Lytechinus pictus: one gene and its partner. The protein of the gene in region 2 purifies or fractionates together with the protein of the main gene of each other region. This does not show direct contact. Links are inferred from orthologs where the notes say so. Each region holds a gene or a part of one and is shown on either strand. Other genes may lie near its edges.

Region 1 (8,042 bases), on a different chromosome or scaffold from region 2:
GGGGCGCGGGCAGCGTGCATGCAGTTTACATACAATGCAGTTAACGTTATAAACCAATGTCAATGAGCTGCAATGTACGAGATTTTGCCATGCTTTCATAGTAGGCTACTTAATAACTACTACCCACTTGATCTATATTTCCACAAAATGAAACATATTGTGTAATTATGATGCCTATTCACCATTAATTTGAAGCTTATTTTTATCCTAGTTCGAGTCTCACTCTGAATGCTGAGATAATTCATGCACGATGAATTCATGAATGGAATTTATCGTTATCGATCGCGCATGCACATTGTGCTTTAATCAAACAAGATCGAAATTGATCTTAAAGGAAAATCATGATGCGACCAACGTAAAATAAATCTTGTTCTCATTAACAATATTTCTTATTATGACCATAGAACATTATTTAATCATAATATTTTGACAATAATTTGCAAATGATAATTAATAATATGAATTTAGGGCTTGATGTGAAACATTTGTATTTCGTTTCCATTTTTAATGACGGACATCACAAATTCCTGAACGAGTGATGGGTGCACTTTTCTAAAAAAAATTATATCATGTCAGGATTGATTTTCAAACATCAAACATCAAACTTGTGCAACGCTTAACCCGTCCCTCAGCACGGTCATGACGGAGCACAAAAATTGACTTGATTTTCCCGCCTTCAAATTTCAATGCATCGATGTTCAATCAAATTAAAGCTGTTTACAAAATAATCGATATGACTTACGCCCAACGGAAGTTATCATATTACCATGAAGCTATAAAACACAGAAGGAGATCCTTCTTCCAATTCCTCTGTTAATCCTTTGTTATCGCTCCCTTCTGGCGAAGGAACGATATCTAACATCAATCTGCGAGCCGCCAGGTGAAAGTAAGAGCCCGCTTACGTAACGCGATAAGCCCGCTCGTAAAATTTCAGGTCAGTGATTTTTTTAAGGTCCCTGCGAGGCACCACCGTAAACGACGTTCTTCCACATAACTTCCCTTCGAGCTCTGATTTTTTTTCAAAATCGAAACATGACTTGCTGGCCTTCCAACATTCATATCTCTTCGTACGGATTCCTGATACATCTTTGATGTAAGGTTGAACTTCTGAGATGATCCCCTTTGCACACACACCAAATACGTTGAAATCTAATTCAATCCAGCCATAGTACGAACGGAGAAAGTTGGATATTATTTATTTATGTTCGTCTGTTTTTCTTGCTTTATATTTTATAAACCTTTTCCTGTATGCTCCTGTCTTAGAAATTACAATGAGGGGAAAAAGCATTTCAAACTTGATTTCGATGCTAAGATTATTTGTTCGGTCATGTTCGCCTTGAAAATATAATGACGAATCTACGGGGCATTTCTACGGCGATTGTTGCATCGTCGAGTATCCTCCAGTGCCCCACATACTCCTATTTGTGTAAGTAGCAGCGCCACGTACGCACTCGTGGAAATCCACATAAACTCCAGGTTCCCTATGCAAGGACACGATTTCTTCAAACATCATTTTACCCAGAAGCTATCAGGCTGTGGAACTCATTACCGCCTGTCGCTGTCAACTGCACCTCATTGGTCATTGGAGCTTTTCAAGCTGAAGGTGCAGTGTGTCAAGCTTTGTTAAGCTTCAGTCCTGTTTTTTTTTGCTGCACCGTACACTCAGCACTTGACAAGCACAAGGTACGATAATACGCCAGTGACTGTTCCAGACTGGAAGAAGAAGAAGTTGAAGGTGAGTGTGATGCGGGAGCTCCATGCTCACACATTTACACAGTACAGGCCTCAGCTCCGGACCGTTCCGGAAAAAAATATTAGAATTGACGCATTTGAAGAGATAGATCTATACCTAACTTTTATGATATTTCGTTGATTATGATCTGTAAAATTTATTCATATTAATATTACCCATTGGCATTGGGTCCGAATATCAGCATTTTAAATTGCATTCGATCAACTTTCCCTCTCTGATTTACAAGCGGCCTGCGCCCGTAAGTGTGATGGTGCCGTGATGGACCACCCAGCTGTGAGGGGATTACCGGTGCCGCGCATAGGGCAAAATTGGACTTTCAATTAAAATGGGCCTATTTTTTACCGAACCATCGAACCAGGCCTTTGGCTTTGTGTTCGGTTCGAAAGTGCCAAGTTTGGCAAGCTTGGTTCAGATCGAAACCTTTAAATTTCATGCTCTCCATTAATGACATCCAGTGACGTAATACACTTATAATGAGCCCCCCAAAAAAAAAATTGTAGGGGGCTGCTGGGGCAGATATTTGGACCAAAAAGTTTTTTTTTATAGATTTTGATTAATATTCAGAGAATAGACAATAATAGTTTAGAAGACCTCCATTTCCCTTTCCTTTTCTCTCTTTCTATATTTTTTGGGACCTTGGCTTGCACTTGCCCTACTCAGACTCAGTTTCGCCCTCAGTTTGGTTGTGAATTTTTTTTGGGGGGGGCGGCCTTGCGCTTGCCCCCCCCCAAAAAAAAAAAAAATAGTTTGCTTGGTTTGTGTTAACTGTTATTGTAGGCTTTACCAGGAAAAATAGTTAGGCCAAAGCAACAGAAGCCGGGCCAACTGTTTGAGTTGGTTGGATGCTCTCTCCTTTTTAGTTTTACTGCTTCATTCATATTCATTCACCCGAAGTTATTAGTCTATTCCTATCACCTGTACGTAAGATTTTTTATACACGCAGGTAAAGGGTCTAAAGCACAATTATGTGACCGATCCGTTAAAATCGTACACGAGCTAAATCGCTCGCAACACATGCTGGTTGTAAATGTCAAGTTCATACTCGCATGAATTCACGTCACATACGGTACTTAGTCGAGAGAAAGACTTATTTATGTTAATCTTTATATCTTTTCAGTATGTATGGTAGTTATAATTACCTCTGATAATTATCTTTATTGCCTTTTACGTCCTTGCTCTGGCTTAGCTTAGCCTTAATCTTATCAATCATGTGTAAATCGAGTGAGTCCCTTCCCTTTCACCTTTCGACGTCACTCACCATGCTCACGTCGCTCCGTTTTCGAAAAAAAAACCAGACCGATTTTAGATTAAAATATAGAATATTGAAGTGACAGTATCAGGATGGTTCAAGGAAAGATCAAAACAAAAGTGCAAGTCCCAGGAAAGGGTAGTCGAAATAAGCAAAAATATGCTCATCAGAAGAAGAAAGGGCCAAAGAGAGGAGGTAGGTAGATTTAGTTTCGAGAGGATCTACGGTATGCATTGCCCGACGCGTAAGAATTTGTGCTGGGTCAGTGTTTCCACAGGCACAGCTCCAAAATAAATTTCCCGAAATTGAATCCCAATTACCAAATTTCCTGAAATTCATAGATATTTCCTGGAATTTTCATGTTTGATTTCAACAAAAATCGGGCAATAAATGAATAATATAGCAAGCCTAAATTTGGTCCAGGTGGCCAAATCAAGGAATTCAGCATTTTTTTGTTCACGCCCTCTTTAAAGGACGTTCCACAGTAACATGTTTGTGCGCATTATGATCTGCGCATAGTTTACACTCTGCGCGCTGACGTCACAATGGGTGAACAGGTGATTAATTAGCTGCGGGTATGTGCTGATTTTTCTCATCTTCTGCACTTTAACTGCAGATCCGATGCGTTTTTTCATGAAGCTAAAAAATTGAATTATTCCATGGACCATTCAAAAAAAGATTCTCTACAATTTCAAAATACTTTACTCTGCAGTGCTGCCAAGAATCACAAATATTACCCCGAGTTTGAATAAATGGTAGAGTGGTTTTGATTTTTTTTTCACATAGATACAAAGCATTCGGCGCATATTTGGTGTTTTAAAAAGCACATTTGCTCTAATAAAAATACTGATAGTTTAAAAACAAGCACATGAACGTTAATGTTTGTTCCTCTTAAGTATACCTTCCTCTACAACTCTACAAATTTTGGTGAAAATGACATGGATTTTGAATAAAGTGCAGCATTTATTGTACTTTTGTAGTTTGTTACTGAAATTTCACATTTTTTAGATTGGGATTTTGTTATCTTTTACGCCATTTTTAAGAACTGACAGTGCTGTTAAACTTAAAATTGCAAACAAATAGCACTATGAATATATTCTCCGTTCTAATGATACAATTATTAACTCTCTTGCGAAATTTGATGACTTTTTCATGTATTTTGACTGAGTAATACAGGTTTAAACTCATTGTAGTAATCTTGGGCGGTCTAAAAATGCCAAATTCTTTTGAATGCGCAATTCTTAAGAACATCAATTTGGGTGAACTTTGAACTTCTATAGCAAAAAATCAAGCACATGGACCTATGTTAATTTTTGCATATTTCGAACATTAAGGTTCTAAAGTATCTATGTGCAAAGTTTCGTGAAAATGACATGGATTTCACTTTAACTGTGGAACGTCCTTAAATAGGTATGATGGGGGCACTCAGCCACTCACACTAACTTTGTTAGTAGTAAAGATAAAAGATATGCCAATTTTAGTATTTGAACAAATTACCTTTCACCAATTTGTGGCAAACTTAACATTCTAAAGATCATTAACCAAGAAGAAAATATCACAAACTACGAAAATCCCGCCGTGTTTTCCAACACCTCTTGATTTCGCCGCCTAATGTTAAATGTAGAGAAGGGGTCCTAAAGCTACGCACTTGATTTATCATGCAAAAAAATAGTATTTCTAAAATATGTTCACAGTATTAGAGGATAAAATGAAATTAAAGCGAATATAATTTCAAAATTCCAAACAGTTGTTGGTTTTCTCTGCATTTAGAGATTTACATTTACAGTAGAAAAAATTGAATAAGAATCGTTTGTCACTCTGCAGTCACAGTTCCACACACAGAGTGCACATTTGCCATAAAAACTGCATGCGCGATGAGTGGTGTGTAGCTTTAGGACCCCCTACCATAAAGGGGTCTAGACTAGACCTATAGGAACAAAAATTACAAAATGTGACTTTGCGAGAGCGGAAAATTTTGAGCTACGTACCGTAAGGGCACTAGTATTCAACCCGTTTGGAGAGTTTCCTCAAATGTATAGAAATATGGAATTTACTATAATTTCAGACCTGTCTTATTTTCAAGAGCATGCTGGTTATTCTTTTTGCTTTTTTATATTTTTTTTCTTCAACTATCGACTGTGTGCGCGGGCGATTGAATTATACGGCGATGGTTTTTGGCACTAGTATTCAACCTAGCGATGAAAGATGGCCCTGTCTCTCAATCTGCCCTTGTCCCATCCGACTATGGACTAGACCATTTGAGATGAGACCAAACAGGGAATTAGTCAAAGCCAGAGACTTACATAGATCTAGATCTAGTTTAGCAATCTAAACCATTTTGAGATTCACTATCTATCATCACTAAGTTGAATACTAGTGCAATTCAGTGCAAAAGGTCATGGCCGCATAATTCGCTCCTCCGAGCATAGATTGATTAAGAAAATACTGACAACAGATTACCCTGAAAATAACAAAGGTATGAAATTAAGATAGTTCCCTTTTTCTAAATATTTGGGGGAATTTGTCCAAATCTTTGAAATATGCCGGGTTGAATACTAGTGCCCATAATAGTTGCTACGTTTAATTGTAAATTTTGAATTTCCCGAAATTTCCTGGAATTTTTTCATTTCCCGAACCTTTCCTGGAAAAAGTCAAAATTTTCCGAATTTCGGGAAGAGTGGAAACACTGTGCTGGGTCAATCTGATAATCATCCCTCACGTTGCGTTATTCGCGCAAAAATCAGTAACGCTATACACTACACTACATACAGGGCAACACTAGCCACTGCAATGCAGTTTGTATAGGGGGGGGGGGGTCACTTTATATTTTTGAAGCCTTTTTTGTCTTTGGATTACACTAAGATATGAATTCAATTTTGTTATCTATTTTTTTCTATATTTCCTTACATTTTGTACTCAAAGAATAAGATTTTTTTAAAGTACAGCTGGCAGCCATCTGTTTCGAGGAGTTTTTTAAAAATTTTTATTTTTCCTTGTACACAGACGGCTCATGATCATGCAGCCACCATTAGGGGGTTTACAATGCAAAATTCCCCCGACGGGGCTAATCGATTTTTGTCTTTATCTCATAAAAATATATAAAAAGAACTGGACCAAAATAAATCATTCTGTTTGGCCTGAAATGCACCAAAACAGGAAAAAATAAACTTAAAAGGAAAAAAAACAGTGACTTACTTTGGCTGTTGAGTGTCGCGCAACTCCCACTTCCCTGGTTTATCCGAACTTAATACATAAACATATGGCCATTGAGTCCCTGTACAGATCGAGTAAGAACTTTGGTCTCTGTATGAGTGGAGCCAACAGAACAACCAATATCATTAACCCACTCTCAAGGCTTCATGGATTACGATGAGAAAGGCTGCATATTGAGGCCTGTACGTGAATCCTGGTGAATTGTCATTGAAATTCATTAATCATGATCTGATTTTGTTTAAATTTTATCAATCTATGTATTGCAGCATGCAGATTTAAAGTTTATGGTTGTTATGTGTCTTCTTTGGTTAGAATCATGCGAAATCATTGGGCTAATCGCTCTGCATTTTTATCAAAACTCAACATGGTTTCAATTTTCTCACAGAGCAATTGGTCAAGACATTTGTTCTGTCATTTTTCTCTAAACATTAGATTGGATCATTGATTTTGATTTTTTTTTGTTTTTCACATAGAAAATACATATCTGGCAATTAAATACCACTTTCAAATTCAAGTCACTAAAATGGAATATATAAGTTGCAGTAATGTTTATAAATGTTTCTGAATTTCTTTGTCTAAATGTTTGGGAAAATGCTAATGTCATGGGGAAGAGAGATTTTACAACTCACTGTTTTTGTTATTTTATTTCAGCCAGATTCATCGCTCCTAAGAAAGCAAAGCAGATAGAAGCTGCTAAACTGAAGAAGGTGAGAAACTATTTTAGATCATCAGTAAGGAAATATAATGGAAAAAGGAAAATCAATATCTTTCAATTCAGATATTGACCTGTATATAAAAGTCATCTTTCTTGAGATTTCATGGAAAGTTGATTACTATTTGCTGAGAAGTGATAGACATACCTGTGATATCTGATCTGCTTTAGGGCTCTGCCAGTCACAGTGTACCATTGAAAGTCTGTGATTAATCACAGACTTTGCTTGATTTGGCCAAAATCGGAGCAGGTCCTCTGAGATAATGACTAAGCTTATGAGGCAAGGAGAATGTTACTTTATATTGGACAAAAGAATTCAATTTTACTCAGATTGAAGTAGAACAAACACATGTTGATGTCTAAAACTCTACAGATTTTAAATTTTACATTAAAACTGATGCTTGGGTAACTGTCTGTCTCTCTCGAGAATTAATTTCAAATGATATGAAGTTTAGCAATGATGTACAGATTACCAATCTAATTAAACAGACCATTGAGATCATTCATGATTGATTGACTTAAATGTAGGGTTTGCCTTATATAAGCAGAATAAATACAGGTTATTATGTCCAAGTCAAGTCTCCTAGAAACAAAGAAAACACTATACTTTTCTGGTTGCAGAATTGCTTTAATTTAGAATAGTATTTCCATTATTTTGTTTTATACATATTTAAGCATATTTAAAAATAACTATTGTTTCTTTGATGGAGATAGGGGAATGGATGGCATCTGATTCAGGGTGAGATGGGATGGTGATAAATTTTCATTAATATTTTATCAAGTGGATTTCTTTCACAAGTGAATGTATTAAACTGAACTGATAATCCTTTTACTGTTATTTTTTTACTAATGATACGATTGACATTTAACATCCTCTTTTCCCTTGCAGAATATCACAAAGGCAATCAGCTCTCGGAATGAGCAAGAAATCATTTCCCAGGCTGCCTCTAAAGAACCAAAGAAGCTTTTGGTAGCTGCACCTTCATCAGGGGGAGGTGATTCAAAGAAGAAAGGAAAAAAATGATCAAGGCATGAAACTTTTGAAGGATTGATGAATAACGATCGTGCATCAAGGACTCTGGGGGAAACTAGAGAGCAGAGAACAGCATAATTGG
Region 2 (8,082 bases):
AAGTGTCATATTTTCCATTTTCTGACTACATCAGATAATTAGCAAAACCTACTAGAACAAAAATTAGGAAGACAAACCAGAATAGTTTCAATTTCATGTTGATTGTTTTAGATTTGATCTTTATCTAGTCTCATTTCCACTTGATAACAAGTACACGCATTAGGCCTATATCTCAGATTGCAAGTACAGTATTCATGTTAGCATCAGATATGGAATTCAAGAAAATGAAATATCATCAATAAAACTAGAAAATCATATTATTATCCTGTTAGCACTCTTATTAAAATTACCAAGTCAATCTCATTCTTTCCACTGTCTCATCTTCAGGCGCCTTACATGTACTGCAATTCAGTTTGAAGAAAATGTCCCCTTCTAGAGTTGTAGGATTGCCAGTTTTGAAGCAAGCTATGAAAAACAATAACACACATGACAGAAATAAATCTCAGTATTATGTATTATGCTCTTCAAAAGGCCAGACACAAAATTGTGTTCCTTTCCATAATAAAATAAAATTGAAGATGTTGTTCAGTATGTCTGTGTCATGAAAATACAAATAATCAAACAATTAGAATTTAAAACTTCCTCATTGACCTACCTAAATGAAAAGACTTCTTGCATTTTTCACAGGAGATCATCGGACCATCCCCTTTGCCTTCACAGTAACACTGATCCCCCAAGGACTCGTCCTCTGTTACATCTACATTTTCCCTCATTTCTTCCTCCTCGTGGATGATGGTCACATTAGAGGACTCTTCTTCTTCATCTTCTGCATCATGGTCATCCACTGTCTCCATGATAATGTCTTCATCCTGTGACTTAGCTTCCTCCCTATTAACTCCTGGGGATTTCGTATCCATGGAAACCACATCAATTTCATCATTTTCCCCCTGCACAAGGATGATAGAAAATATGTTTATTCACTTCAATTTTGAAATCTTTATAAAGTAGAAATATATTGCCAATCCCCAAAATGGAGAATTATATATCAAATCAAAGCAGAAAATCAAAGAACATAGTGGTGTCCCTCATTTATCATGGAGACAGATGAAATTCAGTTAATTGATAGTTTTAAAGTTCCCTCTCTGAGTGCTTCGAACACGTAAATAACGGCCTCAAAATTGGTGATTTTTAATGACGTGTATGCTGGTGCGAAACACGATTGGTTATCCCACATCAAGCTCCACTTGCATCCAAAACCTGTAGGGAGGGTATGTTTTCTCCACAAAGTTACTGAAAACATCGATCACGAAATGGAAGAAACCCAGAAGTTCATCTAGATTTAAATTTCAAAATTTATGATTTTGAAGAAGAGATTGATGATGAAGAATATAGTTAACTTTTATATGACGAATTTTACTAGAAACAAAATGCCCTTCGATCATTTTTAGTTAAAACCGTTGGGGGGGGGGGCTGGCCAAATAAAATTTCACGCAGGACAAAATGACCTTCCTTTTTTTTAATAACCTTTGGGGGGGGGGGTTGCCAAATATTACGCAGACAAAATGGCTTTCATTTTGAGTGACAATCTTTTTTTTTACTTGTCAAATTTTAAGCGAGACAAAATGACCATTGCGACAATCATCCCGAATGTTATGTCAAAATCTATCAAAAAATTTATATTTGTAATGACAAAATTTTTGCTCGCTCGCCTCTTCATCTGGCAGGCGCGTACTAGCCAGGGGGTGGTGCCCCCCCCCCCAAAAAAAAAAGTAGGGGGGCGAAAAGAGAAAAAGGAAAATGAAAAAAGGGAGGGTGTAGAACTGATTTGTTTTTCCTTCTTGGTTTTTTTTGTCAAAAGAATAAAAACCTTAACGAAATGTTCTTCTATAATTAGGTCTACACTCACAATTTGATTAACAATAGCAGCCATCTATGAGGTTTAAAATGGCTAAATATCCAGAGGTATCGAGACCCACCTGCTGATATAGCAGTTTAGCACTGGGGTACAGGATGGAAGGGTTAGGCCCAGTGGCCCCCGAATGTTCTACAACCAAGATAGAAAAAGAAGGGAATTAAAGAAAAAAAATTCATAATCACGTAATAAATTTTAGTATTTGTTAAATAATAATTTTTATCTATAAATTGTTCTTCAAAACAGCATTTTGGAACATCGCTAATCGAAGGTATGGCATAACGAAGCGGTTCAAGGGTCAGACCTATTGTATTTGCTTTGTTGGCAAATGGATTGAGGGATCTACACGAGATCATTCTGGTAAGAAACCTCTCATTTTTGCCATTCATAGTGAAATAATTTTTATACCTTCATAAAAAATCTAAATTTTAGGCGTTTGAAGGTTTCAATAAAATTCACTTATTAATTATAAACCGATTTCACCCTGTATAGTGTATTATATTAAAATATAGCATTATTTATAGGCTAAAATATAGGGCAGTAGGGAAATCTATCCAGGTCTCACTTATGCATATATGCATATATGGGAGACGGTTCAGGGCTCCATGAATGATGAAGAAGTTTAGATCTATGTCAAAATATTAAAAAATATCATCATGGAGTCCTCAGGCTCAACTTAAGACTAAGAGTCAATGCCAAGTCCAGTCCCACATATTGCAATTCATGTTCCTGTTGGCTGTTGCTTGGTGTTGAAAATTATAAGCATGATAAAATACGATCAGACTAGTCTACATTCATTTAAATTTTGATTTCCTGACCCGTAGCCCCCACTCCTAACAACTTCATGAATATCATTACTACCTGATCAGCTTCACTTGAAGTTACACCTGACATCGCTTGTTCAAATTTTATTTCAGGTCGATCGGTCAGCTGTCAGATCAGTGGTAACTACTGTACTGTACTGGTGGCAGATTGGACCGCTGCGCTGCCCGCCCGCGCCGCCGCGGTATGCGCTGCCGCCGTTCGGCCAGCTGTAAAGTTAGATCCTAATTAGTAATTCCTATATAAGAAAAAAAAATCCCAAATAAAATTGGAAGTTTAATACAAGTAAGATTTAGAAAAATGTTGGCTAGTATAGATTTTCATCAATATTATTATTGTTAGTGGTTGGACCCCGTGTTGGACATGTCAGACAGCAAGACCTAAATTTTAACAAAAGACTCTTGAATGCATATCTGCATGCAGGGGTGTATGGGGGGAGGGGGGGGGGGGGAGGCGCCCCAAAATAAAAAAAAGGAAAAGAGAAGAAAAGGGGAAAAGGGTAGCTTTGTGGGTTTCCGGTTTATATTTTTCTGAGAAGAATCAAAACCAAAACGAGACGTCGTCTCTCTCTTTCATATGTAAATTTTCTTCCCTTTTAGCGGGCCGGGCCGGGGAAATCGCGTCCGATGCCCTTGCGCTAACCCGGTAGTCTCCCCCCCCCCCCCCCCGATTTCCCTGCCTCTACTATTAGAGTATAGTGTGTATTTATTGCCAGCAAGTATATAAAAGGGCTTAAATAAAATAAAAAAAAGGAAAAGAGAAGAAAAGGGGAAAAGGGTAGCTTTGTGGGTTTCCGGTTTATATTTTTCTGAGAAGAATCAAAACCAAAACGAGACGTCGTCTCTCTCTTTCATATGTAAATTTTCTTCCCTTTTAGCGGGCCGGGCCGGGGAAATCGCGTCCGATGCCCTTGCGCTAACCCGGTAGTCTCCCCCCCCCCCCCCGATTTCCCTGCCTCTACTATTAGAGTATAGTGTGTATTTATTGCCAGCAAGTATATAAAAGGGCTTATGCGTCGGGCATGAACTTAGATAGGCCGAAGCACTAGCGTACCTACGGGGGGGGGGGCAGGGGGGGCACTCTGCCCCCCCTGACGAGTCACAACCCATGCAAAAACGTATCTTTGCCCCCCCTGACGGGCTTGAAAAACCTTTTTTGCCCCCCCCCCCCGGCGAGCTTTAAGACCTTCAATGCCCCCCTGACGAGCTTGAAGACCTTTTTTTTTTTTTTTTTTTTTTTTGCTTGTCAATTTTTTTCTGGTACGAAATCCTTAATTTGTGATCGAAAAGACCTTTTTTTTTTTTTTTTTTTTTTTTTTTTTTTTTGCTTGTCAAATTTTTTGGTGGACGGTTTTGCCCCCCCCCCTGTGAAAAATCCTAGGTACGCCACTGGGCCGAAGTATAATAGGCTCTCTCTCAACTCAAATTGATGACACGCAATATTGCTGCATTTCTGATAGTAGCGGATAGCTATTTTGCGTTGTTATACAGTGCGTATCAAAAAAAGTTTACACTTCGAAAAAATCCTGTAAAATTACACATTTGTAATATCCTGAAGATTTTTCCACATTTTAACATTGGTACAGATCCATTTAACCCCATTTAAGCAAATGATGATATAACTGTCGAAAAATATTTCCGCTTGAGTGAGCACCACTTACTTTTGAAAAGTTAGTGAAAAATGATTTGCGCAGAACTTTGAAATAGGTATATATGCGAATAAAAGTTGACCTTAATCATGAAGAACACGTGGAATTTAGCTAGTAAAATTGATTTGAAGATATCTTTTACCTTTTTTAACTTGTTTCCTTGCCCAAACCACTTCGAGGAGTGCATTGCACCCCACCCCACTCCCCCACACACCGAGGCCATCGTGACGAATTTGCTTTACACTGAGCTGTGATTTACATAAAATGGCTTAGGCTTGATTTTCATTTTGTTAATCATTGTCAAGCTTGGGAAAAGTGTGGACAAACAAGTATTAAATGAAAAATGAAATGTAAACCCACTTTAAATGATAAAAACTGTCTGATATAAACTTTTGTTCAGATTCAGTTATGTCCTCAGCAGTGGCGTAGCTAGGATTTTTTTCCTGGGGGGGGCACTGGGGGGTCCTTGCTTTTTCAGGGGGGGCACCATTTTTTCCGTTGTGTGTGTATGTGTCACAAGGGCGGATCCGACTTTCGCCAATAGGGGACGGGGCCCGAAATTATCTTCACCTATATTTCCCCCGATCAGTCACTTCTTAGATTTATTCTTATAGAACAACATAAACATGAAATAATCTCATAAGCCTTATAAAAAGTGCGAGCGCGAAGCGCGAGCGATTTTTTTTTTTTTACTTTCATGTATTTTGTCCTGAAAATGTAATATTCTGTGCAATGTTATGTGTGATCCTGAACAAGATTCGTATGTAACTAGATGGTTACTGCGAAGGCCAAGCGCGAGCAGAACTTTTTATTAACTGTTCTAGCATTATCGAAAAGGGACCTGTTAAGGACTGCTTACAGTTACCCACGAAGACGGTATATATTTCAATAATGCGAGCGCGAAGCGCGAGCAAATATTTTTTGACATTCCGACCTAAAAAATTGTCATTCTAAGCACTTTTTGTATTAATAAATGGGATAGGTATGTAACTAAACAATTGATGCGAGCGCGAAGCGCGAGAGGAAGAAAATTGAGATTTTAGACCTAAAAGCGGCTATTCATATTTTGTAAATCATAAATAGGATATAGTTAATTGGGTATCATTAATAATGCGACCGTGAAGCGTGAGCAGACAATTATTGATATTCTGATGTGAAACTGGATAATTTAAGTACATTTAATATAAAGAACATGCAGGCTATCGCGCATGTTTTCGATTTAGACCTAGAATCTGGGCAGTCTGAATACATTTGTTTAATGGAACATTATGAAATACACGTAGACAATAGGAACTTGGCAAATCAAACAATTTGACCACGCAGCGTGAGCTTAAAAATGCTGATATGTAGACTATAAAAGGGACGTTTTACAGCTAGAACACTTAAATTTGTTAATGAAAAAAAATTGATGAGAGCTCGATGTCCGAGCTAAAATATATTTTGTATTTTGACTTCAAAACTTGCTCCATATCAGCCTATTGAGCAAGATATGAATTTCATCGAACAGGCAATTCTGGCGCAAAAAAGCGCAAGCAAAAGTTTTATATAGTAACATGAAAGATTTGTTTTTTTTTTGCAAGTCTTCCCTTCACATTATTTCATTCACTCGTCTTCCTCCTCTTATTTTCCTCTTCTTTTTTTTCTTCTGTCTTTCTTCTTCTTTTCCTGTTTTTTCTTCTTTCTCCTTTTTTTTTTGCTCTGCCAATTTTTTTCAGGGGGGGGGCACTTGGGGGGGCACACCAAATCTCAGGGGGGGGGGCACGTGCCCCCCCAGGCCCCCCCGTAGCTACGCCACTGGTCCTCAGATCCATGCAGCTGGCACAAAAAAGGTAAAGGTTGTGTTGAAATTTCAATTTGGGTGGCAAAATTATTAGAAAATGCTGAAATGTATCCGTTTTATTTCAATTTACTAAAAGTGCAAGGGAAATGTATGAGAAATGTTTCGCAGGGTAAGTTTGATTTCGCCCTTTCCCCTCGACACAGCGTACAAACGAGCATTTCTGCGCAAACAGATTTCTGCGAGCTTTACAAAAATGGACAGTGCTCACTCAAGTGTAACATTCTGTCAAAACTTTTACTTTCATTGGATAGAAGAGACCCAAACCAAAGATTATATGTGAAAAAATTACCCACATGTTGTATATTTTTTAATTCCCAGGGCTTTTTCAAAGTGTAAACTTTTTTTTGATACGCACTGTATATCTCTATAATCCCAGCTAACACAACGTTATAATAACATTTTTGAAAGATCTTAGAAATGCTTTCAAAAAACATTTCTTGAGAACATTTGCATAGCATTAATGAAACAAATTATTCCCCTTATGTTAAACATTATTTCATTAAACGTTATTAATTATTCCCCTTATGTTAAACATTATTTCATTAAACGTTATAACCATTTTAGCAATAACATAAACGTTCTTGTAAGGTTATGAAAACTATGTTAATTCTATATTTTAACTAAACGTTTTTGAAAAATGTTTTCTTAATATTTTTTAATGTTATTATGTTATGATTTTTACATTTTTTTCCAAAAACTTAACAATACATTTTACTATAACCATTTTGAAGAAAAATGAAAATTAAGTATTGTGAGAATATTCTGACAATAACATCAACCTGAATAGAAACGTAATGAAAATATGTTTTTATAACAGTTCAGCAAAACATTTTTGAAAAAAATGCCAAAAATATTTCAAAATGTATCCTTATTTTAGAGTCTTTAGAATACAACTGTTTTTAAACTTTACTATCATGTTTATAAAGTTAAACATGGGCTCTAAAAATATTTTTAAAGGTTGTTATAATATTACAGCAATAACATAAAACGTTCTTGAAATGTTATGAAACACTAAAAAAGAAGGATAAATATTCTTTAATATATACGCTTTTATGATATAACATTATTTCAGAAAAAATACATTTTACTAACATCATTCTTATAATGTTATACATAATGTTTTAAAATATCATTTAAACATTTTTCTAGAAACAACTATTTTCTAATATCTTTAAAACGCTATGCATTGGGTGTCACAATAACATCGAAAAATTATGAAAATATGTTATTGAAAAAATAGCTAAACATTTTTGAAATGTTTTCACAAAGTGTTAATGAAATGTACAACAAACGTCCTTATTTTGACGTTTTTATGACATATCATACCCCCACATATTTTCAGAAACAAAATGTTTTACTAAAATTACGATAAATACACTGGAGATGAAAAATACCAAGTTAAAACATTGGTAAAACGTAATGATGATAGCATTAAAGGTTGTAGAAGTTATGAAAATATATTTTCAAAATATTTAAGCTAAATAATCTTGAAAAGGGGGGGTTGTTTTCCCAAAACGTTAATAAAAATTGATTCTAAACACATTCTTTAAACAGTGGCGTAACAGGCGGGGGGGGGGGGGCAAGCTGCCCCCCTGGCGGATTTCACCGGGAAAATAAAAAAAAACGGGGAAAACATAAAAGGGAGGTAGAAAGAAAGAGAAAGGGGAAGGAAAGAGGGAAAGGAAAGGAGGAAAAGGAATGGGAAAAGTGAAAATAATTTAAAACAAAGAAAATATATATCTTTTGAAATGGAAAAGGAAAGAAAGCGGGAAGAAGAACGAAAGAAGAACATTTGAGAAAGAACAAATCATTCCGAAATAGGACTATGTAGTGCAATAGCATGATGGGAAATAAATTAAAAGATGACAAAATGGCAAACAATAGCGGGAAATGAAGGTAGAATGGAATTAGTCAAAAGCT

Evidence for each region. The genes of interacting proteins can lie anywhere in the genome.
Region 1: the proteins of cysteine-rich protein 2-binding protein-like (region 2) and transcriptional adapter 2-alpha-like purify together in Drosophila melanogaster (affinity purification with mass spectrometry; 3 studies listed by BioGRID, with this or other methods). This does not show direct contact. The link is inferred for Lytechinus pictus from reciprocal best matches to the Drosophila melanogaster genes Atac2 and Ada2a.

The regions. Positions count from the first base shown.
Region 1 is NC_087246.1:15,005,356-15,013,397, forward strand, and holds the start of transcriptional adapter 2-alpha-like, read right to left. Parts: upstream 3,035-8,042; 5' UTR 2,893-3,034; exon of another isoform or gene 2,372-2,892; intron 1-2,371. Other genes in the region: leydig cell tumor 10 kDa protein homolog, read left to right, coding at 3,095-3,197, 6,867-6,922, 7,817-7,951. UniProt on the Drosophila melanogaster protein: Component of the histone acetyltransferase (HAT) complex ATAC; predominantly involved in acetylation of histone H4, including at Lys-6 (H4K5ac) and Lys-13 (H4K12ac).
Region 2 is NC_087247.1:43,280,797-43,288,878, reverse strand, and holds the start of cysteine-rich protein 2-binding protein-like, read right to left. Parts: upstream 3,107-8,082; 5' UTR 2,747-3,106; coding exon 2,714-2,746; intron 888-2,713; coding exon 596-887; intron 406-595; coding exon 291-405; intron 1-290.